Linked DNA regions of Alligator mississippiensis. The protein of the gene in region 3 purifies or fractionates together with the protein of the main gene of each other region. This does not show direct contact. Links are inferred from orthologs where the notes say so. Each region holds a gene or a part of one and is shown on either strand. Other genes may lie near its edges.

Region 1 (7,745 bases), about 73 Mb from region 3:
GAGAAATGCAAAGTGCTGCACCTAGCGAGGAAAAATGTCCAGCATACCTACTACCTAGGAAATGACCTGCTTGGAGGCACGGAAGTGGAAAGGGATCTTGGAGTCCTAGCGGACTCCAAGATGAACATGAGTCGTCAGTGTGACAAAGTCATCAGAAAAGCTAATGGCACTTTATCGTGCATCAGCAGATGCATGACGAACAGAACCAAGGAGGTGATACTTCCGCTCTATCGGCCGCTGGTCAGACTGCAGTTGGAGTACTGCATGTAATTTTGGACGCCGCACTTCAAGAGGGATGTGGATAACCTGGAGAGGGTCCAGAGAAGGGCCACTCACATGGCTAAGGGCTTGCAGGCCAAGCCCTATGAGGAGAGACTAGGGCACCTGGACCTCTTCAGCCTCCGCAAGAGAAGATTGAGGGGCGACCTTGTGGCTGCCTATAAGTTCATCATGGGGGCACAGAAGGGAATTGGTGAGGCTTTACTCACCAAGGCGCCCCTGGGGGTTACAAGAAATAATGGCCACAAGCTAGCAGAGAGCAGATTTAGACTGGACATTAGGAAGAACTTCTTCACAGTTAGAGTGGCCATGGTCTGGAACGGGCTCCCAAGGGAGGTGGTGCTCTCCCCTACCCTGGGGGTCTTCAAGAGGAGGTTAGATAGGCATCTAGCTGGGGTCATCTAGACCCAGCACTTCTTCCTGCCTATGCAGGGGGTCGGACTCGATGATCTATTGAGGTCCCTTCCGACCCTAACATCTATGAATCTATGACGTGGTCAGGAAGGCTAACCGCACCTTGTCATGCGTCCACAGATGCATCACGAGCAAGTCCAAGGAGGTGATCCTCCCCCTCTATGTGACACTGGTAGGTCATGGTTGGAGTACTGTGCCCAGTTCTGGGCACTGCACTTCAGAAGGGATGTGGACAGCATTGAGAAGGTCCAGAGGAGAGCCACTCGCATGATGAGGGGGCAGCAAGGCAGGCCCTACGAGGAGAGGCTAAGGAACCTGAACCTGTTCAGCCTCCACAAGAGAAGGCTGAGAGGGGATCTGGTCGCCATCTACAAACTGGCCAAAGGGGACCAGCAGGCAATGGGAGAGTCCCTGTTCCTCCGACCACTACCGGGAATAACGAGGAATAACAGCCATAAGTTGACTGAGAGTAGATACAGACTAGATATTAGGAGGCACAACTTCAGTCAGGGCAGCTAGGATCCGGAACCAACTTCCAAGGGAAGTGGTGCTCGCTTCTACCCTGGGGGTCTTCGAAAGGAGGCTAGAAAATTACCTAGCTAGGGTCGTTTGACACCAGCATTCTTTCCTGCCCATGGTCTTGATGATCTGCTCAGGACACTTCCGACCTTACCAACTATGAAACTATGAAAAATAAAAATCAACATTTTTCTTTTTCCATTTCAATATCTAACATGAAAATTAGCTCATTGGTGGCTGGGACAAAATCTGAATGATTTTGCTCATACATTGAGGTAATGCATGCACAGATTGGTCTTGGACAGATGAGCAAGCATCCTCATTGATTAACCTTGTCAACAGTGTACAATCAAGTGGTTTTTTTTAGACGGACTGTCAAAAATAGCACCATGTTGAACATTTAAAGAAAATTTAGAAAAAAGACCCTGATGAGAAGAAATAATTGCAACATCCAGATTACCTATTGACAAGGGATAATCTTTGCCAGTTTTTGAACAGTAAGGGTATGTCTACATGAGACATTTTACAGTGCAACAGACTAATTTGCTGCACAGTAAAGCATCACATGTGTAGTAATTAGAGCACAGTAGTCTATAACTTACTGCACTGCCAGCTCATTCCACCAGATGCAAGTGATATCCAGCAGTGCAATAAATTACTGCATTTATATGCACATGTAGTTGGTGGTGTTGGGATTAGTTTACTCTGGCTCAAGGTGAGGCAAGGTATAGTAAATCAGATTAATTGCATGTGTGCAACAGAGTGTGAATAAACTGTTATGGACAGAAAGACAGACTAAGGCTTTTATAATATTAGAATATGCAAGTTACAGGATGAACACATCAATGTTAAAAAAAAAAATCAAAGGTCTTCCAGTGCCTAGATGACTTCTTGAGGTAGCATGATTAAGGCATGCCAGGTTCTGTAGCTAACAGCCATGGGCAGATCAAGGATTTTGAAAAGTGGGGTGCAGATAGAGTGATATTCATAGATTCATAGATGTTAGGGTCGGAAGGGACCTCAATAGATCATCGAGTCTGACCCCCTGCATAGGCAGGAAAGAGTGCTGGGTCTAGATGACCCCAGCTAGATGCCTATCCAACCTCCTCTTGAAGACCCCCAGGGTAGGGGAGAGCACCACCTCCCTTGGGAGCCTGTTCCAGACCTTGGCCACTCTAACTGTGAAGTTCTTCCTAAGGATAGGTGGGGTTCTTCCTGGGATAGGTGATAAATTATTACACAAAACACAACATATTTTTTGCCAGTTAAAGAAAACTAAGATGCTTTACTAATATGCAAGTGCTATATTATTCAGTTTAAATTCAAAGCAAAAACAAATATAACTACAGGAATGCACAATAAATTGCTCGATTTTATATAACATTAAAAAAAAACTAGGTAAAAATAGCCAAAAGATATTGTGTCATTAGTTCTGTAGTTATTATAGTTAATTGCACGTCTCGTATTCAGATTCATTAAACAAAATCTAGCCTTCTTGAGCATCTTGTCAGTGTCTCCAATACTTCAGTCAGTTATTCTACACTTGAGTTAATATTACAACAGCTAAACTAAGGTTTTCAACTAGAGAAAAAGGCTCTTTGTTAAAATACCTGTATTCTGGATACTTAAAGGTGGTGGAACCTGGGCTGATCCCAGTTTTTACAATAGGAGAGAAGCCATCACTAAGCACTTTCATAGATAAAAACTGATGTTGGGCCAAAACTAATGTAAACTGACAACAGAATTGAAAAATCCCAGGCTTTCTCACATTCTGATTATTTACTGGCCGCAGAAAAATGCCTGTGACCTACTTTAAGTGTGAAGTGATATTTTTTAATTTCCCCCCTGAACACTTTTACCCAAAGTGCTGGGATAGATAAAGGACTAGATAATATACCTGGGTATGTTCCAAATGGTCATATAAAGTTGGATTTGTAATTTGACACAGTTCAACCCATGTAACAAAACTACTTATTGGCCTGGTGTTTCCGGAGGCCTTAGCAGGCATCAATCTAGTCGTTCAAGAAACTCTGATCATTCTCTAGCAGACAGCAGTACTGGAAAATTGGACTATTGACTAGCTAGTGCCAAGCTGTAATCATGAATACAGAAAGAGAATATACCGGGGGAAATCTTTTTTTATTTAGAGGAAGAAATCATAACCCCCTGTTGTGCACAGCTCAAAGCATCTGCTTTTTTTCCTTCAGTGGAAACAGATATTTAGACAAGCCTTCACAGGACTGGAGTGTTTTACCCATGTGCACTGACTGCGGTTACCACGTTGTATCTCTATGGTTACATGACTGGGTCAAAGCGATGCACTGAGTAAAAAACAGCTGCGAATACATTATGAAACCCTGAAAAGCAGGTAGGTTCAGTCTCAGCAGTGCCAAATTTACCTCAAAGTGAATGTTCACTGACTCTCACATGCTTTCACACACCTGTCTCCCAAGGTGCAGCCTGCTCATGCCTCCCGCTGTGGAGCGCATGGCTTGTGGCTGGGTGGTATCAGGCTGCCAGGGTGCGTCCAGACGAGCATGTAGCGCACGTGGGGCTGGTGGCGCTGCAAAACGCACGGGACCACATGCAGGCGTTCACCACGCTGCTAATTTGCAGTGTGGTGGGTATTTTGAAACCCTGACATGCCAGTGTCAAAAAACATGCACCTGAGAAACAGAAGCCGAACGGTGCACGCAGCGGTGGCATGCACTGCCCCAAACCGGAGCAAGGCAGGCCAGAGCCAGGCCCCGTGCTCCCAGATCGCGGCCACTGCAGCCCGGGGGGGTTGCTGAGGCCAACCCCCACCAGGAGCGTCTTTCCCATGCTAACCCCACACGCAGGGGCGTGCGCCAGGGCGATCTGCCTTGAACTGTACCTCTGAGCTTGTCCAAACCCTCTAGGCACAAATACTTTGTGGTTTGAAGCATCAGCGCGTGGAGCAACCTGCAGGTGCGATGTGCCTGGAAAGAGGCAGGTTGAGGCCCGCACCAGCCCGAGCGCTGCCAGTGGCTGCCCTGGGGGGAGCTGCCGGCTGCTCCCCGTCCCCGGCACGCGCTGCGGCTGGGCCGAGCACCTCCTACTCCGCTCGGCTGAAACGGGACGAGGCCGCAGAGGCGCCGGCGGGGCCGTGGTGATCGCCGGGCCTGGCGGAGCTGCCCCGGGCAGCGGCGCGTCACGTCTCCAGGCAACTGCCGGCCCCGCCCACGCCTCACCCGACTGGTTCTCTCACTCAATGAGGGCGCTCAGGCCTCCCCCCACATCTGTCAACTTCCGCCCTCGAGCTCCACTGTCAAATCAGGATGCGAGAGCCTCACTAGGTCCCACCGCTGTGCTCCTGGCAACCAATGGGATAAATGCTTTGGCTCCCTCCTTCCCTACCCGTTAGACGCACATTTTCTTCCCGCAACTCCGCCCCTCCCTCCGGAGCATCCAACGGGAGCGGGCGCCTTATTCTGACTCCGCCCCCCCGCTGGCAGCAGCCAATGGAACCGGGTTCCGCTCCCCTCCACCCCGCCCCCCCCGCCCCTCCAGCTTCCAGCTACAGCTGCTGCGGCCGCGCAGCCCCAGACGCGGCGTGTCTGGGCCATGGACGCCGCGCAGCAGCAGCGGGTGCGTGAGCGCGGGGCGGCCCCAGGGCGGGGGGAGGGCGCGGGGACTGCGGCGGGGGCGGCGACCGCACCTCGCCCTGGCACGGCCGCGCTCACTGGGGCCGCTGCTTCCTTGCAGGCCGCGATCAGCTACTACTGCCGCGAGGGGCTGTTCCGCCACGCTCAGGCCGCGGCCGAGGACGGGCTCCGCAAGGCGGCTGGCGACCCCGTGCTGCTCTTCTACCGCGCCTACGGCCTCCTCATGGCAGGTAACCGGCGGCGGGGTCGGGGAAGCCCCGAGGCTCGTGCTCGAGCTGAGGCGGAGGCTCCTTGCCGGCTTTGGTGGGGCGAGGGGGGCACGCGCTGGTCCCGAGCTCAGCTCCTCTTGGCAGAAGCCCGGGGGAAAGCGCGGGGTGTTGCCGGCCCCGCGGTGCAGTGTTAGGCTCAGGGCCTCTCAGTACGCTGGGGCTGGCCTTGGTTACACTCGAGGGCCCCCTCGGAGCGTGCGTGCTTCTCCTCCTCACTTGGCTTTTTGACTTGTGGAAAACTACCAGAGCGGCTTCTCTCTTCCTAGGATTGGACACAAGCGCGGAGGCAGCGTATCGGGGTAGACTTGGTTCATCGAGTCTGCTGCAGCGTGGCAGTTGCCGCGCTCCAGCATCCTTCTGCATCTCATGTATCAGCGTCCCTGCTCCAGTTGAAGCGCAGCTCTCCCTGCAACCCCAGAGCACGTGTAAAAGTGCCCCTAGTCATAGAGGAGTAGGGCTGCAAGGGACCTCCAGAGGTCATGCCTGACAACCATACATAAAACCAGGGGGCAGCACTGGTTTTGGGCAGAGTACCAAAAATACCCACAACCTTGGCTTGGAAAATGTTGGTGTGCCAGGGGCGTGTGGCAGTAGAGCCATGAGGGGCCTGATCCTTGTTGCGGCAGCGCAGCACCAGTCCCTTCCCCGAGGCGCGCGTGCCTTTGCTTGCCGTGGGTTGCCTCCTACTGATCTGAACTCTGTGTAAGACCTTCAGCTCTGATACACCGCAGCCCAGCGTGCCAGCCTGCCAGAGGGAGAGCAGGGCAGCCAGCATCCCACTTCCATGAAATGTCAATGCATATTCAGAAGATCCCAGGTAGAGAGCCCTGCCCTGTGCTGACGTGGAAGGCAAAAACTCAAACAGTTTTTTTGTATCCTTTTGACCGGGGAGGTCTATTTCCTTCCTGACCCCAAATATGGCGATTGGTCTGACACTGAGCAAATGGACAAGACCCTGTAGCCAGAATCCTCCAGCTTTGGTTCCAACAGGAGCATTAGCACACCCCAGTGAAAAGCCCCAGCCTTGGTTGTAGCCAATAACCAGTGCCTCTCAGAAGGCTTAAAACACCCTGATACGTAGCAAGCAGCCAAGCCCAGAAGCACATGAAATATCCGTGGTAGAACATGGGCACAGCTATACCTAGATAATCCCCAACTAGTGGCTGTCCAACCTCTTCTTGAACATCTCCAGTGATGGAAAATCTACAACTTCTATAGACAGTCTATTCTGCTTCCTCACTGTTCTAACAGTGAAGGAGTTTTTCCAGCTGGTCAGTCTAAACTTACTGTGCTGCAACTTCGCAACCAAAGTTTGTGTCCTCCTCCGGGCAGCAAAATAGAAAAGGTGCTTTCCCTTCTCTTTATGGCAGCCCTTCAACTATTTGCCAAGCTCTGTTGCTAAGCTCTTGGAAAGCTGCAGCAGGGTATAATGGGTTTGTCACTATGGATTCCTGTTTGAAAACTCTGCATTTATGTGGTGAATCGTGTCTGTGCACCTAACACAGCTAACATTGTGTACCACTCTGCCACACCCTCAAAAGAATCTCAGGGCATCCCATGGTTCCATGGCACCCAGCTTGAGAATCACTGTACTACACCCTGGTTCAAAGGCATATTTTTTCCCCTCTGTTTTGTGGAAACATTACTTGCCCCATAGTCAAGCACTTCACTTTTTCTATAGAAAGATATATCTGCTACATTTTACAGGCCTCTGTCCATTGGCAGGTGCGTAGGGGGTGCACATGCACCCCCTGAGCATGCCAGTGCATCCCCTACAAAAAGGGTGTGGGTGGTATCTGGGCAGTCGCTACATGCTGCGACCCCCCCACCGCTGCCATCACCGCCAGCAGTGTCTGCAGGTGGTCAGCAATCGACACTGCCAGCAGCGTCCATAGGTGGTCACCAACCCCTGGTCGGTGCTCGCCACCCCTCTTCCCCCGCCTGCAGTGTCTGCAGGAGTTCCCTACTTACCCTTGCCACTGCCGTGCCCCCCCCAGCCACCGAGGGGCACGTTTTGTTCATGCCTCTGTCTGTCTGCACATAATGACTGCATACATTTTTACTTACGCAGTGTCTGATGAAGTGAGCTCAAGTTCATGAGCTTAAGTTATGGCCTCTGTATAGCTTATTTAGTTCATTTGTAATGTGTATCTCTATCCTGTCTTCAGGCTAGCATGGCTAGCTATCAAGTTTTCATTTACCCATCATTACACCTTTAGACCAAGAGTCTTTCTAAATAGACTCAAACCAACAAAGTGCACATAGGAAAATAAAGTTATAAAGAGATAATTCTCTTGTTTTTTGGCAAGATACCTGTATTTTGGGGTTTGTTTACACTACAGGTTTCTCTTGCTTTATACGGGTTCTGTATGTGTGAATTTGCTCTTACACAATGATCCTTTTTATACCAAAAATTTGTTATATGCGAGGTAAAAGTCCCTCTTATGAGATTGGTGTGGTGGAAGCCTGCAGTCAGCTGCTTTGTGCAGTGCACTGTGCGAGTGACATGTACCCAAATACGGTCTTCTCTGTAGACCTTTGCTTCTCGCTCGTTGTCTGTGATGGGTTTCTGTAGTTACTATCCCCATTATGATAGTGCCCTGTGCTTGTTTGTACTGTCTGCTGTTGGTGAGTACCA
Region 2 (7,792 bases), on a different chromosome or scaffold from region 3:
ATACATGGCAGATTGGGGTAAGGAGCAGAAAATAGAGGAAGGGGGTTAGAGTGGTGCTTGGGGAGGGCACAGGCTTAGTTTGTGTCATGCCTGCCAAAAAGGTTGGCTCCCGCTGCCTTAGATGTTTTCTCTACCAAGGTATGTAATGGTAATTTGTGAAGGAGGTTTGAAAGTATTTTCACTAATATACTATTTCTCACCTGTTTTCAGATTATTTCTACTGTATAGAGTATTTTATGCACTTTGACTTAAATATTTGTTGCCAGTAAAATGATCCCCAGGCATCTTTCACTTTGTACTAATTGTCTAAGGGTTTTTTCTATCTTTCACTGGCAACTTAGTAATTTGTTAGAGAAATAATATAACATAACATACTTGAATATCATTCTGAAGTATGTTAAAATGTTGTGAAAATCTATATTGCATACATTATTCAAAGGATAGGTTAATTTTCTTCCCAATGTTTTTTAATTTCTTACTCAACAATGGGGTCATTACAACAGACAGGAAAATGGGGTTAGGCTATATTATAGTTTAACATTCCAAGTGTTAAAGGTCAAAATAATTTTACAAATTTAAGGTTGGATCCTGTAGCTGAATCAATCTGGATCCACTCCTGACTTAAGCAAGGAGGGTCTTAGTGCAAAGAATCTGGACCTGCACTGTAGCCTGTAGCAGACAAATGATTATCTCAGGAGAGGACAGCTTGTACTTTATCCTTTTGTGGTGTATCACTCTTTACATTAAATTGTTTAAAAAGTTGAGTAAGTATTATGCTCATTTTGCAGATAAGGAAATGTGTGTATTTATAGTCTTGTCTGTGCTGTAAAAACAAGAGTTTTTACTACAGAAGTTTCTAATCCAAGTTACTGAATAAAATTATAACATTGTACAGTAAATAACCTTATTTTAAAAACAAATATTTCCCAGTCTTTATTTCTGCCTTAGTGTTTTGGTCTTATACCATGGTTTGAATAGCCATATGGGTCAAACCAAGGAGGCTTGAAACGTGGCTCTGTCACAGCTGAAGTTAACAAATCGAACAGGATGCTTTTTATATTTACACAGTGTGTAAATTTACATGGTGCTTTACTAACCTACACAATTCAATGCATTCAGATCTCCAAGGAGCTCACAGTGCAGGACCTCTGATCCTGCAAACATGCATGTGAATAACTTTGTATGCCTGAGTAATCCTAGCGCTTCTAGTTGGACTGCTAATGTGTAAAGTTACTTATTTGTGAGTTTGGAGAAATTGGACCTATTTAAAACACAATTTAGACAAGAACTGAGATAAGAAGCTGGTGTGGAGGCTAAAGACATTTGAACTTTCCTTCATTCTGTAGTAGATAGGGCCCAAAAAGGCAGGCCAATGATAAACTTGTACAAACAAAAAATAGAATGCAAATTAACTGTAAATTTAATGTTACATTATCACAGTCAAAGTGGCAATGTAACTTGGGGTTCACTGCATATCTTGTGTAATTTATGGCACAAATTATATACACTTAGTGTGTTAAAAGAACAGGGACAGAAAATACTGTGTGTGCAATGCAGCAGAACTAACATCGCCATAGAAACTTAAATTCTTATTTTTCCTCATCTTAATTGAGATGCAACCTTTTAATATTTGCATCAGTTTTCTAGGTTTATTTTTATAAAGTAGTATAGTATATGGCCAATAATAGATTTTTCTTAATCCCTTTCCCAGCTATAAAAAAGCCATCAGTATATAAAACATACTTCTGAATCTTTTTTTGATCACCTTATATTTGATACCATGACATGTCATTCATGACATTCTTTTCTCTTAAGGTATTTTCAGTCATTTAACTTTATAAATTATTGTAGGCAGTCCTCTTGTTACTGTGGCAGTTTCTGTCCTTTCCAGTTGAGGTAAGAGGACTTAAAACAGAGGTCAGATCTCCATTGCTGATCCTCCAAAGTGTACCAGGATGCACCTGGACATGACAGAGTGCTAGCAGCATTCTTTTAAAACCAGGGATGAAGGTGTTGGGTGTTGCCCGTTATTAATCAGAACACTCTAGCAGCCTTGGATAGCTGACCTAGCACCTTTTGCAAGGGCTAGATTCAGAGAATCTTAACATAGGAGGAGGAATCCTTGTGATTTAAAGTATTAGTCCAGGGCTTAATATGTCTGTTTAGAATGCAAATTCTGCAGCAGTGACTGCGTATTGGATATTTGGGGAAAAATCTTCTCATTGTAAGTGTAGTTATTAGTTAAGCACTGGAATAGATTACCCAGGGAGGTTGTGGAACAGGTTAGACATCTACCAGAAATGTTTTAGGCATACTGGATCCTATCTTGGTCGGGGAGTGAATTAGACTTCTTGAGATCATTTCCAGGTTTACCTCTCTAATTCTGCTTGTTTATAGAGTGTATATCATGTAGGGGGATTCCAAGAGTTGAAGCAATAGTAGAAATACTTTTTACAGGAAGTCCTCATCTTGTAAATAAATCTAACATTAATTGAAGTATTGTTAAATTCAGGGTGCACCAGCATTCAGAGCTTTTTTTCTGCAAGTGCCCATCTACATTTTTGGTTATGATGAAACTTTTGGCCTCCTTTATAATATACACCATCTCTTTTCTGATGGAATCACATAATTCCAAGTCCCTGCACTATTTGTGCCTAATGGGGTGTGATGCATCATTTGAATGAATGTACATGGTCAAAGCTGGCAGCTACATTTTGTGCATATAAACCTGAAGTTACCATTTAAAAATTAGAAGATAAATCATACCTTTGATTATTTGTTTAAATGTTGGCCATGATCCTAAGACTCTGATGCATGGGTTTGCTATGACTTCAGTGGGGCTATGAATAGCCACAGGGATGTGCTCATACAGACCATTAGGATTAGATCTTAAGGAGTTGCACACCTTCTAGGTTAATATACACCTCCTAGTGCTGCCCATTGGTCTCAGAATGACCCACAGGTAGCATCTGGGGCCTGCTGGATGGTCTCTGCTCCAGTTTGTGCCCTGGAGAGAGAGAGAGTGGCTGCTGCATGGAGTGCAGCCCCTGCTCCAGGGGCATGCAGCACAGCCCAGTGGCAGCAGCAGCTTCAGAGCTGTGCAGCACATCCAAGGAGCAGCCAGAGAAGGACTGGACCATGCACAGCACCCTCTTTGGCTGCTCCAGGACATGTGCTGGAATGTAGGGCCAGTCTGTAGGTCTGGTTCAGCCTGCAGACCAGCCCCACATCCAGCAGACTGAATAAGTTTGATACCTCTGCTATATATTAACTATTATGCTTGGATTTTTTTAAAAATGTTATTTTTTTACAGCAAAACATTTCAGTGATAACATACTTTGCCTCCATCTCCCAACTCTTCCCCAAACCAAAAAAGGTTGTGCCCTTTTTAGAGGTTGCAAACAGAATTGTAGAACTGTGATATTTAATTAAGAAATATAGCCTCTCATAGTAGTGCATGGAGGCTTCAGTCAGATCAGGCCCCATTGTGTTAGGCACTATGCAAACATAGTTGGTGACTTGAAGAGTTTACAAACTAATGTATGGATTTCCAGATCGGAGCAGTCTCATGTCATGTTTAAGTCAATGGAAGCTGCGTGTGTTCATCACCTTTGACAACCAGGCCATTGAATATCCAGTCTCCTCTGTCACTAATAAAAACAGTTTGGCAAATGCTTCTCCATAGGGTTAATTGACACAGTGTTGAAAATGGCTGCTGGTGCCAGAGATGTACCTATTAGGGCTTTCAGGCCTCATAGTCACTGAACTCTCTGAAGTAAGTAGGTGTGAGTTTGCATTAACATGTTCTCTACAACTCCCACTGGTTTGGGCTTGTATGGAAGAAATGTGCTACAGTGGCTAGAGTACTATAGTAAGAATTGGGAGACTTTCTAACTAGTTGTACAACTTTAATCAAGTCATTTTGCCTCTGTTATACTGCTCTCTTCCTTTGCAAAGCGATCTGAAATGTGCAGAAGAAAAGTATTTATATAAAAGCAAATTATTTGTGTTATGGAAAGGAACATCTGCATGCGAGATACTGCTTTGTGCCCTGACTGTCTAACACCAGCTGTCTTATGTCTTCAGTCCTAGTATGACAGTCGGTAGCAGCAATCCCCCAGTTCAAGGGCTGATCTCTACCACAGCTCATTGATGGGTCTTGAGCCACAGATCCAGCTGCAGAAGCTGCTGGTCGTTCCATGGGTGTAGGCTGGGATTCCTCTCCTTTGAGAGTGACCTTCTTCCTCTGCGGACACTCTCTCAATGTCCCCTTTTCGATGCTAATACAACCTCCCCCGACTGTGCTCAGGACATTACTTGAAGCACTTCACCGTTCTCTTTTCATCCGAGACAAACATGAACACAAATTCGGTCCAGCGCCTTCCGGTTAACGACTCTTGGCGAAAGGGCGTCCCTCACCTGCAGCTCCCGGCTGTCAGCAGGCAGCTTGGCCCGAGCTCAGCACCTGTCACCGGCATCGCTTGCCTCGCATCTTCCAGAAAGAAGGAAGATGATGATAAAAGGCTGTTTCTGTCTTCTTTGGGGATCCTCAGGAAACAAAGGGCTTCGAGACGGTGCTCCCGCGGGGCTGGCGGGGTGCGGGTATCCCCAGGCACCCGGCACCCCTGAGCTGGAGCGACCGGCCCCCTGCCACGCGCGGCTGCGGCTTCTGAGCTTCCGTGTCTGCCGCCGGGCCGGCTCGGGCGTTTCCGTGACTGCTCGGCGCTCCGGCCGGGCCGGCTCGGGCGCTTCCGGTTCGTGCTCCCCCCGTTGTCAGGGGTAACGCGAAGCATCATGGAGCCAACGCGGCGGCGGCGGCTGCAACCGAGGCCCTGAGCGGCTGCGTCCGCGCTCTCGGGGCAGGCGGCGGTAGGAGCGGGCAGGGCCGCGGCCGGGGGGGGGGTCGGCAGGGCCCGATGCGGCCCCCGGGGCTGGGAGGACCCGGCTCGGGCTTCTTCCCCTCGTGCTGCTGCGCTGCAAGGGGCCGGGCCGCGGCTCCCCTGGGCCGCGGGGCTCGGCTGGCGGGCCGGGCCGCCGGTGTCGCAGCGCTCTCTGCAGGCGCCGAGCGGCTCCGTCCCCTGTCGGAGCCGCCCCCGGGGTGCTGCCCGCGGCTTTCGCGGGCCCGGCGGAGCGGGGTGAGGCGCCCGTGGCACAGAGCGGCGGGGCCGGGTTTCGGGCCCTCCTTGCTCCCTCCAGAGCGCCTGTGGCCGGAAGGCCCCGTGCGCCGGGGTCACCTGCCTGCTGGGCCGAGGCCAGGAGCCGCCCCGCCTCGCCCTCCTCGCGTCGCCCTTTGAAGGATCTGGTAGCCCCCCAGGGTGCCCCATATCCTGGTGAGAATCATGGGGTGGTCCGTGGCCGCCGTAGTCTTTGTACTCAGAGTGCCTTTAAACACGGCTGCTAGTTCTGTTTCTCCCCTTTTTAAAATAAAACTTGAAGAGGGCAGCACTTTGCTTCCATGTTGTAGTCTGTGGGGTGATAGAGCAGCTCCCACAGAATCATTGAAAAGGAGAGCCAGAAGGGACCTCAGGAGGTCATATTCAGTCTAAGCCCCTACTCAAAGCAGGACCATCCCCAACTAGATCGTCCCAGCTAAGGCTTTGTCTAGCTGGGTCTTAAACATCTCCAAGGATGGAGAGTTTACAACCTCTCTGAGTAACCTGTTCCTGTGTTTTTTTACTTTTACATACCATTATTGGGCTTTGTTTGTCAACTAATAATTTAAAAACACAAACATCAGGGAAGTAGGAGGCAAGGTGGGTAAGAAGAACGGTCGAATGGGCCAGTCCTTTTGCTCAAAAGGAATAAAATGCAAAACCAGATAATGGGGAAAATGAGGAACCCAGCCCTGTCACTGACTTTGTTCAGGCAGAGCAGTGCAACACCCTCCCCCCCCCCCCAAGTTTTGTGGGGGCTTGTCTGCCCACATGAAGCTCATTGCACGTTCAGGACCCAAATCACTAGTATGTTTGTACAACATGCATCTTTTACCAATCAGAAGCTGTAGATGGGTAAGAGTGCACCAAAGGAAAGTAGTCTTGATCATGCAGTTTGAAACCCAATACAGAGTTTGTAGATCAAGGGACAGATACTATTTCCCCATCTCAGATTTGTCATTTTTGCTCTCTATATAGTATGATTTTATAAACCCATTAAAAACACACAAAACAAAACAAAACTTTGAATTAAAAATTTAAGAGGATTTATGATGATTTCTTAGAGGTAATTGCAGAATCTCTTAAGGAAGTCCTCACATCCTTTCAGAAAACCAGATCTATTATCTCTGATGGATTCATTAAGGAGCTCAAGTCTGTAGCCAAGCACAGTTCAGTAATGGTCAGACTTGTGTAGGACAAAACAACCAACCAACCCCCGCCCCCCAAAATCAAAACTACATTCTTGGTTGACAATTGAGGTGTGATCCAATACAGCTGATGGTATTACATAGAGAATATAAATAGCTTGAAGAATACAAATCAAAACTGATATGCATATATTTAAGTGGTGCAGCAGCTAGTGCCAGCTCTTCAAATAGCATGCTGGTTTGTTGTGACTTGAGCAAGCTTAAGGTAAAAGGTGCTGCATCAGAATCTCAAAAAACCTTCCTTTTTGAAAAAGTTTTATTTTTTTATTAAGATTCCAGTCCTATACTTGATGCCCTTCAGACAAATACTTCAGACCATGACTGAATAAGAAAAAATAAATCCCCTCCAAACAATATACATAGGAGAGCATAATGTTCTCCTAAACATACAATTATCTCCCTGAGGAGAGGTGAGAAAGTTAACTTCATATGATGTTAATCGCATTGCTGTGCACTTTTGGCAGGTATGTAGTTACTAGTTATGAGGAGATATATAGAAGAAAAAAAAAAAAAAGTATTTAGACTGCTATGCTGCAAGTCAAGTTCCAAAAGATTATATAACAAAACATTTGGGGAACTTTTTTTTTTAATTCTTATAGTACTGGTTAATTCTTCTAGTCTTAGACCAGTGGTTGTCAGCCAGGGGTACACAGAATGGAAAAAAAAAAAAAAAAGTTAGAGGTGCACTAATACATTGGTCCCATCAGATCGGCACAGATAAAAGGAAGTGACAGTATCGGCAATCAAGGAATTTTGTGGTGGCTGAAGCCCCCGCATTGCTTCCCTTCCCAAGGCTGCCACCTCCCACCCTGAGCATATCTTGGCCCAGCCCCCCTGCTGGGAAGAGCCTGGCACCCCCTTGGTCCAGCCCACAGTGGTAGCCTGCCCTCACCCAGCACAGATTCAAGGGCACACCTCCCCCATGCCCTCCTGGGGTGTGTAGTGCCAGAAACCAACCCCCCCTGCATCTCCCATATGAGCTGCCTGTGGCTCAGTCCCATGCTCTGCCCCAGCTATGCAGCACCTGCCCCAGCCCCTCCCCCCACAACAGACTTACCAGCCAGATGCCACATATTAATAATGCATTCAATGTTAATTAGTATAGTCTGCCTGTGACTAAAGGAGTAGAGACCAGCCTGCTCCTTTGTCCTTGGAGGAACTGCCTGCCTTTCTCCTGCCATGCCAAAATGTTCTATTGTTTTGATGTTAGCAGGTGGGAGGCAGGGGTTTAGGTGCCCAACCCACCTTACACCAGGGTGGTTCTCAAACCTGACATATAAGTGACCCTGTCCCACCACAGGCAGGCCCACCCAGCCTCCCTATACCAGCAGGGTACAATTTCAGGGCATGTCCAGGACCAATAAGTCCTTTTCCTTCCCCATAGCCTCACCCTTACCTCTAAGATATTCCTAGAGCAGGAGCTCCACCAAG
Region 3 (7,593 bases):
CACAGAAGCTGGCGCAGCACTTCAGCAAACTTTTCTGTAGCCACCTAGTTTGGTGGTTTCACATTAAAGTGTTGGTGGGCAGTGTGCACCACGTTACTATTTTCTTTTGTTTTAAAGGATTTCAACAATGTAGGGATTAATGTAGGTTGCCATTTCTAACTTAAACTGAAAAAGTCATCAATTTGTATCCAGCCTAGCTCTGTGTCTGTAGAGCAATGTATTTATTATTCCAGTCTTCATTAGAAACAGTTCTTTTCAGAGAGCTTAGGCACAATCAGAAGCATTACTTTTTAAAAGAAATTCAAGATTGCTTGGTGGCCTCAGGTCCCTCCGTTTGTTCTTTGCAGATCTGGGAGTAGCTGAGAAGTCTTCCTCTTCTCTTGACTAGCTCCAGCAAGCATCATGAAGTCTCTAAGTGGCTTCCTCAAGCCTTTTGATGCCTCCAAAGAAAAAATGCACCCGCAAGGCCAAGAAGCCAGAGCTGCTCTTCCTTGAGAGGCCACGGGAGGGATCTGTTCATCATTATGGGTCTTCTCTTCCTTTGGCTGAGAACCCAAGATGTGTTCCTACCAGACCCGTAGACCAGAATGCCTCTACTGAGTGGGTAAGTACAGGTTTCCTGCTCCTTCATTTCATACAGTGTTTTGTTTTGTTTCTCTTTTACAAGGTAATGGAGAGATCTGTACTGGATATTGGCACGAGCCAATAAATGGGTGCTTTTTCTTTATTTCCTTGTGGTTTAACTAGCTGTAGAGTTCGGAGTTGCTCCAAAGCCCACTCTTGCAAGTCACAAGCAGCTCAAGCTTTATTGCCACTTCAGGTACTGAATGATACTTTAGGGCCACTGGCAATGAAACAGAACTCCATGTCATGTACATTAGCATAATGACATTGAATACTGGGATCCAGAAAGAGAAATTGCTTTATGGATTTTATAGTAATTCAAAACCCTGTGCACAGAAAATAAAATATTTATTCTTTCATTTTTATTTTATGGATTTTTTTTTTTTGATACTTGAAATAGCTACTGTGCTGTAAGTGTGGTTGGCTGAAAGCTATGCCTAAAGTAATACCTGCCTGTTCAACAGGGATCCTGGTTTTCTCTGTTTAAAAAAAAAAATCCACAATTTTCAGATTTAAAAAAGTAACTCAAAATCCACATTTTTCTGTGATTAAAATGAAATGCCACTAATTTATATATAGTAGTGTTTCATTTTGATCATGGAAAAATGTGGATTTTGGTTACTTTTTTTTAATCTGAAAATTGTGGATTGTTTTGATCGGAGAAAACCAGGATCCCTGCTGTTCAGTTAAGGTGCTAGCTCCATTTTTGTATGCCCCTAACTGTAGTTCTTCTCTTTAGCATTTATTTTTATGTCTACTTTAACAGCTTGCTTTTCTGCTGTCATTCATACAATAATAAACCAGGGACTGTTGATGTCTGTGGCATGGAGTTAAAATTGATGTTGTACCTTGTAATGAGCTGTAGTTGCAAGGGAAGGGAAGGTTGGTACATTTGACCCTTCCCCTTCCCCCAGCTCAGTTTGTATTTTAATCTTCTTTCCATGCATTCCTTCCAGCGTCCCCCTCCCATGGGCTGAGAGGGCAATTCAGTGTCCGTTTTATTCAGTCTTGCAGTCATTTGCACTGCCTGCATGATGCCATTCTGTGCAAAGATTTTTAAATAGTTGTGCTGCTGTACTGTGGGAACTGCCTTGGTTTTAGCTGCAGCTATCACTTTGGGCAGCTCTGCTAAATAGCATTGCTACTTTGGACTCAAAACTTTTTAACAAAGCAGCCCCAAGGAGTGAGGTTTCAAGTATACATTTGAACACTCCACCAGCCATGCAAATTGGAGTTATTTGAGGTCAATTTCTATGTTGTTTGCTGCGGGGGGGGGGGCGGAAAGAAGTTCAGAGCAGATCAACTTTAAACATGTTGCAGGCAGTCAGCTATATGGCTTCTAAATCAATAAGCAAAGCACTTGCTGAGATGAGAGAGAATCACTGTGGATCTGGAACACATTGGAAAATATCCCAATATCTGGAGATGTCTGAGAAGTAATGGCTGGGTAACTAGTATTGCAGTTATTGGGCTAACTTCTCCTCTGACTTCTCCTGACTACTTATAGTGAATCCCAAGTTAGGTCTCAGGCCTCATTTCATCACTTGAATCTCAATTGCATGAATCTCCTAGTCGTAAACATTTCCTGGGGTCTGCAGTCCCCTGTGTGTAGAACCTGTGTATCCTCCAATTGTTTTGATTGGAAATCTCGAAAACAGTGGGATAGGTACTTGCCATTTTTTTTTCCTGTTTGACTTAGGTTATGGCTTGTGAAATGTTGCGCAGTAATTTAATGCATGAAAGAGACTGGTGGTTTCTAGAGTAATTTAAGAATACAATATCAGAATTCACCCCTATAATAGGTGACTTAATTATTAAAAAAAAAACTTTGAATTGCAAGTCTTCTTTGAAAAGTCTCTAAAAATGGCTGTGTGGATTCTATGTTTTTTGTCTCCATTACTGCAGAATAAATGTCCCTTTTATAAATAAGATGTGTTTTGTGCAGTGAAACAACCTCAGCTGGGGGTCTAAGAATCCAGTTAGGCCTCTTTAATACTTATCCTTCACCTACAATATTCTGGCAGAAAACAGGACAGGGTGGTGGTACCTTTAGAGATTGGCTTCTGCCTAGCTTGAGGCTAACATGGTGACTTGCCTTTTAATATTCTGGTGTCAGTTACACCTGTGCTGCTGCTTTGTCTTCCTGGTTGTATCAACAAGACTGGTGGTTTGTAAAACACAAGAAGAAACAGAATCCAACCTGCTCTTTGAACTGTGGAGGATTCAGTAGCAATTAAAGATTTATTCTATCACTAAAATAGATGCATTTAAGTATATTCAGAGAAGATAGCACATTTAAAACTGCATTTCAGAGTAGAACTGCACTTTGTGGCTATGTGAGCCTCCAAATTTTTCATGCTGTCTTGAGTGTCGAACATAGTTTGCAGCTGAGGAAATCTCGGTAAACTAGACCACGTGCTGGAAGAGGCAACGGCAGCTCTCAAATGAAGATCAATAGATACATTAGAGAAAGGGGAAGTGCAGTGAGAATGGTGTTGCTGTTTCCTTGTGGAGGAGCCAAGGAGTGTGAGGGGTTATCCCATCTGAGAGAATGGTTTTTCACCATCTCTGTTTGGCTTTTCAGGTGTCCCCGCAGTTTGAAGCCACTCTACCCATGGGCTTCAAGGGCAAGGGAGGTAAGAAGCAAAAGCATGTGTCCAAAAACTTCCAGATCCAGGAAAAGAGTTATGGATTCCTTCAAGGAGGAGGAGCTGGTCAGAAACCTGCTGTCTGCAGATTTCCTTCTCTAACTTTTGAGAATCCAAAAACTTCTACCTGTACCTGCACAAGGCATTCCAAAACTAATGCAAAGGCATGCCATGCCCAGCCCAAGACAGGCTCTGCAACAAAAGCCAGCAACCCAAAGAGCTTTCGAGAGAGAACCTCTCAGTCTCCTATTCAAGAGCTAGAGATCTTCAGTCCACCAGATATACAGACTCCAGAACTGTCATCTGCAAGGAGCCTTGATCAGAGTGGCACTGTGTCACCCGTGAATACCTTCCCGCTGTATGCACATAGTGATGTCACTGTCTGTGCTGACAGACTGGAAAGCCATGACTCAACATCACTAGTCAAGGACACCCCAGAACACCAGTATGGAGTGAAGGTAACTTGGAGGCAACGGCCTCACCTATTGAAATACCTGAGAAAGAAGGGGAAGCTAAGCAATAGTGACATCATGGTGAAGATGAGCCAGTACTGACCTGAGCTCCCAGGTACAGGCAGCTGCTGACTGGAGCAGAACAGGAGTTCAGCTGCATCTCCTCTGTGCTGGTGGCTTAATGCAAGGAGGTCCCACTGGGAGATGACTCTGCAGGGATGAAGAGAGAGATGCCTTGTTCAAAGCATGGACCTAAGCCCCAGTGAGGCTGAGACTCCTTACTCCCACCGAGAGGTGCTTCAATCCACTGTGTGGTCCAGCTGTGAATGTCTCTGGGAGGGGGGAGGTGGTCCAGCTTGAGGCATCCTTGCCTCAAATTTGCTGCTCCTGGCAGTAGCTTAACTAAGAGCAGTGAGGTAAGAAGGGTACCAACATAGGGGATGCCAGAATGATGCCCTTTCCTTCCTCCCAGTCTTAGCTGGAGCAGCCCTACCTGCTCAGGGCATAAGAGCTCAGCTGGAAGCCATGAGCCTGGCTGCAGGGACATGGTTGGAGCTACCCCACACTACCCAGCCCTAGAAGCTGAGCTGGAAAAGCCCCCACTGCCTGGCCATAGGAGCTGGGGAAGGCACACAGCCGTGGGGGGGGAGGGGGCTGGACTCCCTAGGGCAGGTAAGCCACAGCCCCTGTAGCTGGGCAGTAGGGGCTGCTCCAGCAAGACGGTATGGGGTGAGGGTGCATGGGGTTGCTCTACATGCAGCTGAGCTCCCCCCATACCCAGGGGGCTGCTATTCACAGCGATGCCCCGTGTTAAATGGAACTCGGGGGGGGGGGGGGGGGTCGCCCAGGGGCTCCTCCAGCCCCGCCCCCACTGGCCGGGCTCGGTGGGGCGGGGCGGGGCGGGGCGGGGCGGCGCCTAAGGCACCACCCCGCGCGGTGCGCATGCGTGGCTTCTCTTTTCATTCCTCCCTCTCGACCGCAGCCAATAGGCGCGCCCCGTGCTGCGCCTCCCACCAGTGGTGCCGCGCCTTAGTGCCGGGTGCCGTTGCCTGGAGCAACGGCACGGGGAGGAGTGCGGAGGGAGCAGAGGAGCCGAGCTAGCGCGACTGGGCTCCCATAGCAACGGCGCGGGCGGGGATGGAGAGCGCGAGGGGCCGCGCGGCGCCCTGCGGGGGCAGGTGAGGCCCGGCCGGGGCTGGAGCACGAGGCTCCTGCGCCGCCCGGTCAGCGCGGGGGGGCGTTCCCGGTGGGGCTGCACGTGGGGGCGACCCGGAGCTCCGGGCTCCCCCCATCCCTTTCTGCAGCCCCCGCGCAGGGTGGCGGCGGGCTGCGCTTGGGCTGTCCCGCGCGCGGTGGGGCTAGGGGTTGGGGCTGCGGCGGGCCGGTCCCGCCCCGCCCCGTCCCGCCCCGCCCCGCGGGTTGAGGCGGCTTGGTGGTGTGATTAGCGGTGCGTCCCAGAGCGCCATCGGCCCCTCTCAAAGGAGGGCTCTCGGTCTGTACAATGCCAGTCCCTCCATGAGGTCACACAGTGCCGGGGCAGGAGAGCAGAACTCAATGCTTGTTGCCCTGCGCATCAGCCCTGCCTTAGAAGGTAATGGGAGGCAATGGGCAGGTGTCTAAGTCTTCTGGGGTCCCTATTCTGACACAGCCCCCAGCTGGACTTATTGTTAAGCCTCCTGTTCAGGCTGCAAGTCTTAATTGGTCTGTTTCTTCCCTCTGGGTAGCTCCTACAGTCACTCTTCCAGGAGGTCTGACTTGGGGCATGGGTAAAAAGCTCCCATCTAATTGAACCTCTTTGCTGCTGATTCCTATTTCTCTCACTGAATAAACCAATGTAACTTTCTAAATGAATTATTTTATAATAGGCACAAGAGGGAAATCAAGTCATAATGTCCAGCCGAGTTAGGCTTTCTGCCATCAGTTTAATTGGTGACTTGGAGTGTTGCGGGGAGCAAATGGGATTTGCTTTACATTACACTGCTTCCGTGCAGTAAGGGGTACAGTGTTAATGGAAGTGACAAAGATGAGGGTTACTAATGTACAAAGCAGATGCCTTTATGGATAAGGATTCTGTACCCAGTGAGAGCTGTCTTTTCACTTGGTCTTGCTTGTCCTGCTTCCAGAAAAACCCTATTTTTTCTGAGAGCTGCTCACATGCTCGCTCTCTGCCCTGCCTTCCCACCCCAAAAAAAGCATGCGCATTGAATGAGCTCAGATAGATGGGAGCATAGCTTGTGGTACTGTTAATGTTGACCAGTTTCCTTTGCTTTTTTGAGGAGGGCTTCAGAATATTTGACCTGAGTGAACTTGCTGTTGGAAGCACAGCTTAGATTTTTCTGTCACAACTTGATCGTAGCAGTGGTGGTGATGGGAAATGAAGAAGGTTCCCCACCACCTCCAGTAAAATAGTAAATTGACCTGTGGCCTGTCCCTTCCCACCCTTACCCTGCACCCACCTGCCATCTTAGGGCAGGTAAAAACATACTGCTTTTGATTTAAATGAAATCCTGCCATGACATTTTCCCCACGTAAGAATCTAAATCTCCTGTGATGTACAATTTCAATACAGTTGCATTTGTACCTTTTATGATTCCACCCTGCCACCACTGCTCTGAGTCATGCCCTAACCTTGCACCTATCTGCTATCCTGGAGCATAAGGAGGACCAGGTAGACTGAAAGCATGCCGTACTTACCGAAATCCTGCCTGGACAGCATTGCCACGCTTCATCTTGCAGCCCTGACCTCAAAGTGTGCGAGGATTTATCCGCCCTTCGTTCTGGCACTGGGATACTGGTCTATTTCTGCGTGTTGAAGGCTGACACCAGGTCTCTCTTGGTGTTGCTGAGCCGTCTGGATGTTACGGGTCCCAGGGCCACAGTTGGAATTGTGGCCTCTGGTCCTGCAGCTGCTGATGTCCGGTCACTCCACCACCAGCTGGCGGGCCTGCCTCCTCAGGACTGCATCCCCTCTAGGGAGCTGGCTGGTGGTGGGATGCAGCTGCGTGGCATCAGCTCGGTGCCTAACATTCGGTGCATCGCCATCATTGGGGAAGTTCCTATAAAGTGATCTAATCCTGTAGAGCTCATGCTCGTCCCCCTCCGGCCTTTGCCCTCTCCTCCTCCACCACCAGAATGCCAGGGCACCAGCCCCCAGCACCACAGCTGCCCCCAGTGCCAGCTTCACTTTCCAGCTGCCCGATGTCGCTGGGCGCTGGTGGTCAGGGCTCGGCATGAGCGTGGCAAAATCCAGTTTGGATAATGGGACCATCCTCGCATACCACTCAGCACAAGTGGGAGAAAAAGTCCCAGGGGCTCCTTGTTGCTCAGGGATGACACCCGGGTCACTGAAGAGGGGGCATTGTGAGGGATGTGGCTGGCCTGGGCCTGGTGGGGGAGATGAAGAAAATAGAGCTTTTCTTCTGATGTAGCACTAGGCTGCCTGTCAAGCAACCTCTGGATGTCTCCCAGAGCCAGCTTAATAAAAGTGCCAGTTCTTGCAATCTTGGTGTTTCTAACATAGCAATATGATTCCTGGAGAATCTGTTCTTTCTTAGTTTTTTTGCCACCACCATTGCAGAGAAAAGCTGGAAAATGTGAATCTTAAAGGACAAAACCCATAACAAGAAGTTTAGAGCATCTTATTTACTTTATTTTGGGGGACCTGATCTTTGATTTGTTTTTTAATTGAATGGTTGGAATTGGGAATACAGTAAAATGCACAGGGGTAGATAGAGGGCTCCTTCAAAAGCAAAGGAAAAGAAGTAGTTAAATCCCCTTTTTGGAGGAGGTCCAGTTGGTGACTTGTATGGTGGTATTGGCTGAATTAGACATAGCCCAGTCATGATGATAGTGCATCTAAATATAGTGTC
Region 4 (7,640 bases), on a different chromosome or scaffold from region 3:
AACCAACTTGCTGCAGTGGGACTTCAAATAGAAACATTCACACGTGTAAAGTTAAGCATGTCTGCCAGATCTGAACTGGTATTTGGATTTGAAAACCTAACTTCAAACACCCACTCCTTCCCTTCTCCCCCAGTTCTTTTTTAATATATCTTAAAACACACATTTCCACTTAAACAAGATTTTGTCTTCACACAAGTATGCAACAAAATGTCTGTATTTAAATTAATCTATTTTTATATTTCTATACAAGCATTGGGTGTTTACTTTTTTATTTTTTCAATTTAATTGAAATAAAATTCTTAAGCCAAAATAAGAAAGCATCCTGCAGACCTGCACAGTAGGAAAAAAAAAAGAGAAGAAAAAGAAAAACAATCCAATTTAAATCTCATTTAACTCAGATTTAGATATATCAGTATATGTTTCTGAGTAACAAGTTGATACTCCAACCAGGACAAAGTTTTAGGAGTGAGCTGTTTTTCAGTTTTTTTGGAGACCAGAAAAAGAGTAGGAATATATTTTGCAAAGCTAGTTTGCTGTTTAAGACAATTAAAACGACCATCTAGATAATTATATCAATGTTACCTATAGAAAAGACAATTTAAGGCTGAAAACAAGCATGAAAAACTTTAACCTAGAGATCATTTTCTTTAAAAAAAATATCAGTGCCAGGAAATAGTGTCAACCCAGATATTCTGTTAGTAGTTTGTGATAGGTGGCTTGTTAATAGCTAGTCAATATGTATCATTTGCATGTCATTGCTTTAACAGTAACATGTGTCATAGTTTAAAAAAATATTTCCATTTCCATTCATTAAACTTAAGCAGATCATCCCCCTTTCAGATTTATCTGTGTGCACAAAGATAAGGAAATACTAAAACAGAGAGAGTCAGGTAGCTGGGAAAATGCAGTGCTTTTCCTTTAAGAATTGAGAGTTGATTTTTTTCAAAAGCAAATGCCTCTACTTGCTTCATATCCATCTACAGTTCCGTTCAGAAATACACTAAACAAACCAAAAGGTGATGTCAAGCCATTGATTTGGTCATTACTTGTTGATCCCTGTGTTCAGGGGTGTGTCAGAGGCAGAGAGAGGGTGTACGTGTTTGTTTGAAGATCGACCGTTTTAGAAGGAAAAATAACAAATTCAGACTATTTATCTATATAAACATTTTAATTAACAACAAATACAACAGATTCTCTCTCTCCCCCCCCCCCCAGGTACTTTTCAAAATTGTACCTCAATTGTATTCAAGCAATATATAACAATTAAAAAAGGATTTATTTTAATGAGAAAATCCATATTCTATTTAAACAACATATGGTAAACTCTGATTACACAAACCCCAGGTGTGCAAATTTTCGAAGTGTCCCCTAGACTCAACATGCTGGTTTCCAAAATTCTGTTTATCAAAAATTACCCAAGCAATTTGTACAACAGGGCAAAGACATGAACAAAAATAAAATTACATTCATAATGCATTGGCAATTTGTGTTTGCTCACTATAATGCGTTAAAAGCCAAATAATCTACCACCTTTAGAGGTAAGAACACATTCAAGGATAATTTATGCACATAGCAAGTGTACAATGACATGTAGTGAAATGTATGTATTATTTATAATTTATTATTCTTATTGTAGTAATACATTTATGCCTCAATCAGGAATCATCTTTCAATTGTGCACAACCTGCATCTGGATCAAGAATCTTCTTTTCTTAGACACAGAAAGCATGTCTGCATGAGACACTGACTCCAGAGTAGCTGAAAAATACTACGCAGTAGCATGTCACAGCACAGACAGTGCTAATATGCTACGGCATGGTATTATTAGCAGGGATCCTGGTTTTCTTTGTTTAAAAATTGCAACTTCTCTGATTAAAACCCCCCAAAACCATCACACCCTTCCCCCCACCCCTGCTGGTGCCCCTCACTCCCCACCCACCCACCCACCCAGCCCTGCCTGAGAGGGCCCCCGGCTGCTACAGCTACAGGATCACAGGTCCAGGGACATGGGTCTGCAGCCCCCTGCCCCCCATAGCAGCACCTGAGCCCCAGCTACCGCTCATCAGAGGCAGTGGCTGCTGTGGTGGAGCAGAGTATGAAGCCTGGCTTCCCCCGCCACCATAGGCAGCATGGCTGGCTCATGTGGGGGCAGGTGCAGGCTCCCTGCCATGCCCAGGGCCTCCACAGCCCAGCCGGGGGGACCTGGCACAGCAGGGAAGAATGAAGCTGGGTGAAGAAGCTCAGTGACACCACCGCAAGCCCCACGTTGCCACGATGAGACACCCCCTGCCTGCTCAGCAGCAGCAGGGGTGGTGGCGGCACAGAGTTGTGCCTCCCATTGCTGCTGGGCAAGCAGGGGACACCTTGCCATGGGGACTTTTGGCTCACAGCAGCAGCACTGCCTTAGACTGTCAATCTTCCCTGCCCTGCTGCACCAGGTCCCACCTGCTGGGTCATGGAGGTGCCCAGGGGGAGGACAGCAGAGCAGGGAGCCCAAGCGCACAGCAGGCAACCTGCCCCATGCACAAAACTGGGGGCATGTGCTTTCCATGCCTCCCCCTGGGAGTGCGCACAGTGTCGGGGAGCCAGCTTCCCCCACCCCCTGACAAGCTGCCTGCAGCTCCATCCCAACCCCCTGCGGTTCCGCATTCTGGCCCCAGGCATCACCCAGACTGGGCAGCAGCCCCAGCTCTGCCCAACTCCATCCACCTCTCACTATGGGGGCCTCCATCTACCCTCCTGAATTACCTGTGGGAGTTGCTAGCTGGCTGGAACTCTGTCATTTCCTGTGTTTTTCTCCTTAAAAGGAGAAAATCCGGGTTTTACTACTTAAAATGGGAAAATCTGGGTTTTGCCATGTTTTTGCATGGCAAACAGAAAATCCAGCTCCCTGATTATTAGGCTACTGCTCGGTAGCATCACCTAAAAGATGTGCACTGGCACTACTGTGCAGTAACTCCAGTTACTGTGCATTTATTTAGTACTTGATTATACAGGGGAATTAATTAGGGGGTTTCAACTTTTTAGTTGGGGTACCCCCAGTGGCTGGTCAATGAGCCAGGGGTTGCCCGGTGTCTGGTCAACAAGGCAAGGGGGTGCCTCCTTGGCACCACTGCCATGTACACCCTGGGGCCTTCCAAAGTACCCCAGGGGTATGCATACCTCTGGTTGAAAACCCCATTAAAGGTGCAGTAAGGACTGCACAGTAGCATCTTCGTAGACGCATCCCGTGTTCACAATCTAAGGCTGTCGTTTAGACATGCATTTCTATTTTATAAAGACATTTAAAGAAATGCTTAACTTTAGGTATATTTTCAAGTCCCACTTAAAATTAAGTAAACTGCATTTAAATGCCTTCCCAAATCGAAATGGACTTAAGCACAAGCTTCAGTGCTTTTGTGAACTGGTGTCCAATCAATGATCTTACTCTATTTTGAACATTTATTGTACAATGATGGACTAGGACCCAGGACCAGGATGAATCATTCCAAAACTGGTACAACCATCAGCAACTCAAGTGCATCCATCCCATTGTATAAAACATAAAAATAGATTTAATCCTAAAATGCAGAGAAAACCCCTGTTCTTGCAAACATGCTGGAGGCTTTCCACTGTATGGAAAAGATTTAGTTCTTAAGTTTCAGGTTTTGGTTTTTAAGGTCCAACTGGAAAAATATATACAAGTTAAGTGCAGCGACTTCGGTCCATAGATCCTGCTGATACAGGCTGGAGCCACTGCTGCCCAGAGTTAAATTAGAAACTGGAAAAGGAGTATTTCAAATAGACAACTAAGCCATCTTCTGGAACATAAGCTGAGGGGTTCATTAACAATGTGGTAACCTTCCTCCTATTTTCTTTCATCAGTTTCTCCCTCTCTTTTCAAGGCATGGAAGGTATTTTTAAAGGCAGCAGTGCTGACAGGTAAGCTCCCAAGCATCTCGTGGCTTTGCCTCCTCATACCCTCGCAAGAAGTTTGAGGGAGCGGGATGGAAAGCTGCAGCCCAGGGCAGAAAGCGGTGTCAGCTGGCACCCAGCCCAAAGGAGCTGCTTTGCTCAGGGGAACAGGGCTTGTTTCCCAAGCTTTAAGCTTTTCCTCTCGTGAAAGCTCCACGCTGGGGCGTGTCAGACCCGCCACTGAAGGCCCAGGTTAGCGGGGCGGTACAGACACGCAGGGACCGGACCGGACCAGCCCAGCCCAGCCCTGCCTTGGGTCGGGCGGGAAGGGAAGCAACTGCAGCCCGGCAAGACGCTCCGGGAGCCCCCGAGACAGGCGGAGAGGACTGGAGCGCCCTGACTAGCCCCGTCCGAGCCGCTTCCCCTGGCCGAGAGGCCAACGAAGGGCGATGGCCTCATGTCAGCGCCCCTCCCCCGCACACGGTCAGCCAAGGCCAGCGGGGCTGACATCAAGCGCCGCCCCAAGCGTTGTCCGGCCCACGCACCGGCCCGGCCCGGCCCCGGCCCCGCCCCCCCAGCAGCCTTACGTAACCCTGCGCCCGGCCGCGCCCCCTTTCCAGGCCAGCGGCGAAGACGTGGGTCACGTGCGCGAGCCCAGCGGTTAGAGGGTCACGTGACAGCGGCAGCGCGCCCCCCCCCCTCCACGTGACCCGGTTTGTTGTTGTTGCGGCCTCTGCTGGCGGGTGCCCGCGTGGGCGGCGGCCGGGTCACGTGCCGGGTTTAAATCTCTCCCTGGGGTGGGGGCTGCAGCGGAGGCGCCGCTGCGCGCTGGTCCGGGCGGGGGAGGCGGCGGTTGCTGCTGCTCCAAGATGGCGGACGAGGAGTCTCTGGTCGTTCAGCCCCGCTGCGGCCCCTGCGCTGCGGCGGATGGTGCCGAGCCCGCTGCCAAGCGCCAGCGCCGGGACTCAGAGGATGACTGCGGCGGGTGGGGCGCGGCGGCCACGCTGCGCCCGGGGCGCGGGGTCGGGCCGGCGATGGAGCGGCCGGGGGAGGCGGCCCACGCCGAGAGGGGCGAGGCGGCAGCGGGCTGGAGCGGCGCGGACAATGGGGCCGGGCTGCGTGGCCTGCCCCGGGCGGAGCCGCCGCAGTCGCCGCAGCAGCAGCAGCTGGGCCGGGGGGAGGGGGCGGAGGCGGCGCCCGACGGAGACGCGGCGGAGCTGGCCATTGGCTGTAGACGGGCGCAGTGTTCAAACGGGAAGGCCGAGGCGCCGGCCCCGCATCCCGGTGAGGACCGACCCCCCCCCCCGGACCGGAGAGCGGAGGGACCCTGGGCCGCGCCCCTTCGTGCGCCCGCGGCCTCCCCGCGTCAGCCGCACGCCCCCGCCACGCCCCCGCGCCTCTGGGTGCAGCGGGGGGGAGCCGCGGGCCCCCTCGGGCTTGGGCCGAGCCTCTGCCCTGCACCCCTGCTCTGCTCCTAGCGGCTTCATGCCCGCGAGCTGCTCTGTCCCTTGGCGCCCATCCTGCTACTAAGGGCGCCAGGGCACATCTGTCCGCAGCCGCCGGGGCTGGAAGCCCGACATGCGCCTTTATGTTTACATTCGCATCCGCTCCCTTTTCTCCCTTTCCTTTCAGCCCTCCAGGTGCTGACAGTGGCAGGCCGCCCTTTGGGGGCTGCCAGCCCCCAGGGATTGGAGGTGAAAGATGACGCTTTCAGCCTAGGGCTGTTCAGCAAAGGGTGAGGCACTCACCTACTGCTGCTCGGAAGGGAACAGAGTGAAATCAAACTTGTCCACCTTTGAGAAATAGCTACAGCTTGCTGGGTTGGGCTGTGTCAGTGCTCTGTATTCCTGATTTACTAACTTCAGCCAACCTCTGCTTTCACAGTCCCCTTGGCTGGCCTTCTGTGAGCAAGCAGCCTGACAATTTTTGTAGTAAACATGTTTCTCTACAGTTATTAAACATTTTAAAAAGCTGCTCTTCTGGTCTACTTCTGCCCTTCTAAGTTCCTGTGTATGGCTGTTCATCTTTGTGTTTTGTTTCTTGGAAACCTTCCTATAAGGGACATGATCCACTAAGCAGCTGCCTTGCCAATATTTTGTGTAGTTGGCTACCCTGGGCATGAAAACTAAACTATAACTATTAGTTTCTGAAAGGATCTTGGCAGGCCCAACTTGAGGTGAACTACTGGGGCAGTACCAGTTTGTAGGTAGTTTCCTTTGTACTTCTAAAACAAATGGTGTCTTTGCCTAGACAGGAGGCCCTTAAGAACTGAATTTACATATTTTTAGTAAATCAACACTAAATCTTTCACAAGCAATTTTTGCCCTGGGACATGCTTAAATCTTAAATTTTCACTTTTGCTTATGTACTATAGTGCTTTTAATGGCCTGCACTGATAAGAAAGAGCAGAGGTTGAATACCTTGGAGCAGGATTATCAATCCAAAATGTTATTAGAAGAGAACAATGTAGAATTGGTTCTTTCATAAATGCTTTGTACTGAATCCTTTTTGCCCAAGCTACTCTTATCCTAGATGTATACCTTTTAAATTTGTGATTGGTTCCGCCTAGGAGAAGTCTCCTTGTTGATTTATCGGTCTTGGGATATTGCTTATAGTTGAAAGATTTCTGAAACTTGCAGAAAGTATAATTGTTAAACAGTCGCATCAACTAGTTTGTTTCTAGTCTATTTTGGTCAATATAAGAATGATAGTTGTGGGTCTAAATAGTCCTTATGGAGACACTTGTGTACATGATAAACTATATGCCCATGCATTGAAATCATGCAAAAAAACAACTGGAGGGATATTTTTTATTAGACTAGCTGCACAGCTGGGAGAGATGATAGATGTTAGACCTGAAGATGGGCACTTTGTGCCATACAGCTAGTTTGATAAAAGGTAACACCAAAAATCTTGTTGCTTGCATATTTCCTGGACCATCAGAGCTACAACAACACTACAACAAAACTGCATGAACTAATATGTGTCTCTTTCTCTCTCTGAGATGTGTACTTTGATTTAGGTATAACTATTGGAATGGGAGCAAAAACTGTCCAAACCAGTGAATAAAGTAACAGCAAGAAAGTGTACCAAAATAACACTCACATGCACTTAAAATGTTGTAGACTGGAATTTGAAATTTTGTCCATCCTCCTTTTTCCTGGTCCATAACAGTGTTTTTAAAGGGGAGAGGACTATTACCTTGTATAACAGGCACTTGATATTTTCTGCTTTTCATTTGTAATCATAAGACTTGAGATATATCTAGCTTTAAGTATTCTGATCTTATACAGTCAAGAGATAAGCAAGTCTCAACAGATTTTGGTATGGAGGATTTTTTTGATAAACTGTTCCCTCCCCTCTTTTTTCTTAAGGAAAAAGGTGGGTATTTTGTGGCCATTAGTGTGTGTTCAATTCAGAAATATCAAATGTCAGCTCTGTCTGATTTTGTTGGGCATCTAAAACATTTGAGAAGCCTTGTGTAGAAAAGGCAGTTTGCATGGTGTGACCAGTTAAATTGTTCAAATTCAAATTTGAACTTCATTAGTCTAAAATGCATTGAAAGCCATGTCCTTTATCTTTGCTGAAATTCTTTGCTAAGTTGTTCCTACATCATAAGGCCTGTGTCAATAAAGAACTAATATAACAATATTGGGTCCAAAAGAGTGGAAGTTGAGCAACTGATATGCAAGTTGTGAAAAGTAAAGGATTTTTAATCATGCTGTCCTAAAGCTTCTTGAAGGTTA

Evidence for each region.
Region 1: the proteins of TULP3 (region 3) and TTC21B purify together in Homo sapiens (affinity purification with mass spectrometry; 5 studies listed by BioGRID and IntAct, counting the BioPlex papers as one, with this or other methods). This does not show direct contact. The link is inferred for Alligator mississippiensis from reciprocal best matches to the Homo sapiens genes TULP3 and TTC21B.
Region 2: the proteins of TULP3 (region 3) and IFT140 purify together in Homo sapiens (affinity purification with mass spectrometry; 5 studies listed by BioGRID and IntAct, counting the BioPlex papers as one, with this or other methods). This does not show direct contact. The link is inferred for Alligator mississippiensis from reciprocal best matches to the Homo sapiens genes TULP3 and IFT140.
Region 4: the proteins of TULP3 (region 3) and SIRT1 purify together in Homo sapiens (affinity purification with mass spectrometry; 5 studies listed by BioGRID and IntAct, counting the BioPlex papers as one, with this or other methods). This does not show direct contact. The link is inferred for Alligator mississippiensis from reciprocal best matches to the Homo sapiens genes TULP3 and SIRT1.

The regions. Positions count from the first base shown.
Region 1 is NC_081827.1:216,635,559-216,643,303, forward strand, and holds the start of TTC21B (tetratricopeptide repeat protein 21B), read left to right. Parts: upstream 1-4,733; 5' UTR 4,734-4,797; coding exon 4,798-4,821; intron 4,822-4,938; coding exon 4,939-5,068; intron 5,069-7,745. UniProt on the Homo sapiens protein: Component of the IFT complex A (IFT-A), a complex required for retrograde ciliary transport and entry into cilia of G protein-coupled receptors (GPCRs). Essential for retrograde trafficking of IFT-1, IFT-B and GPCRs.
Region 2 is NC_081836.1:29,248,351-29,256,142, reverse strand, and holds the start of IFT140 (intraflagellar transport protein 140 homolog), read left to right. Parts: upstream 1-4,781; 5' UTR 4,782-4,869; intron 4,870-7,792. UniProt on the Homo sapiens protein: Component of the IFT complex A (IFT-A), a complex required for retrograde ciliary transport and entry into cilia of G protein-coupled receptors (GPCRs).
Region 3 is NC_081827.1:143,895,515-143,903,107, reverse strand, and holds the start of TULP3 (tubby-related protein 3), read left to right. Parts: upstream 1-4,590; 5' UTR 4,591-4,861; coding exon 4,862-4,902; intron 4,903-7,593. UniProt on the Homo sapiens protein: Negative regulator of the Shh signaling transduction pathway: recruited to primary cilia via association with the IFT complex A (IFT-A) and is required for recruitment of G protein-coupled receptor GPR161 to cilia, a promoter of PKA-dependent basal repression machinery in Shh signaling.
Region 4 is NC_081829.1:54,462,267-54,469,906, forward strand, and holds the start of SIRT1 (NAD-dependent protein deacetylase sirtuin-1), read left to right. Parts: upstream 1-4,637; 5' UTR 4,638-4,763; coding exon 4,764-5,178; intron 5,179-7,640. UniProt on the Homo sapiens protein: NAD-dependent protein deacetylase that links transcriptional regulation directly to intracellular energetics and participates in the coordination of several separated cellular functions such as cell cycle, response to DNA damage, metabolism, apoptosis and autophagy.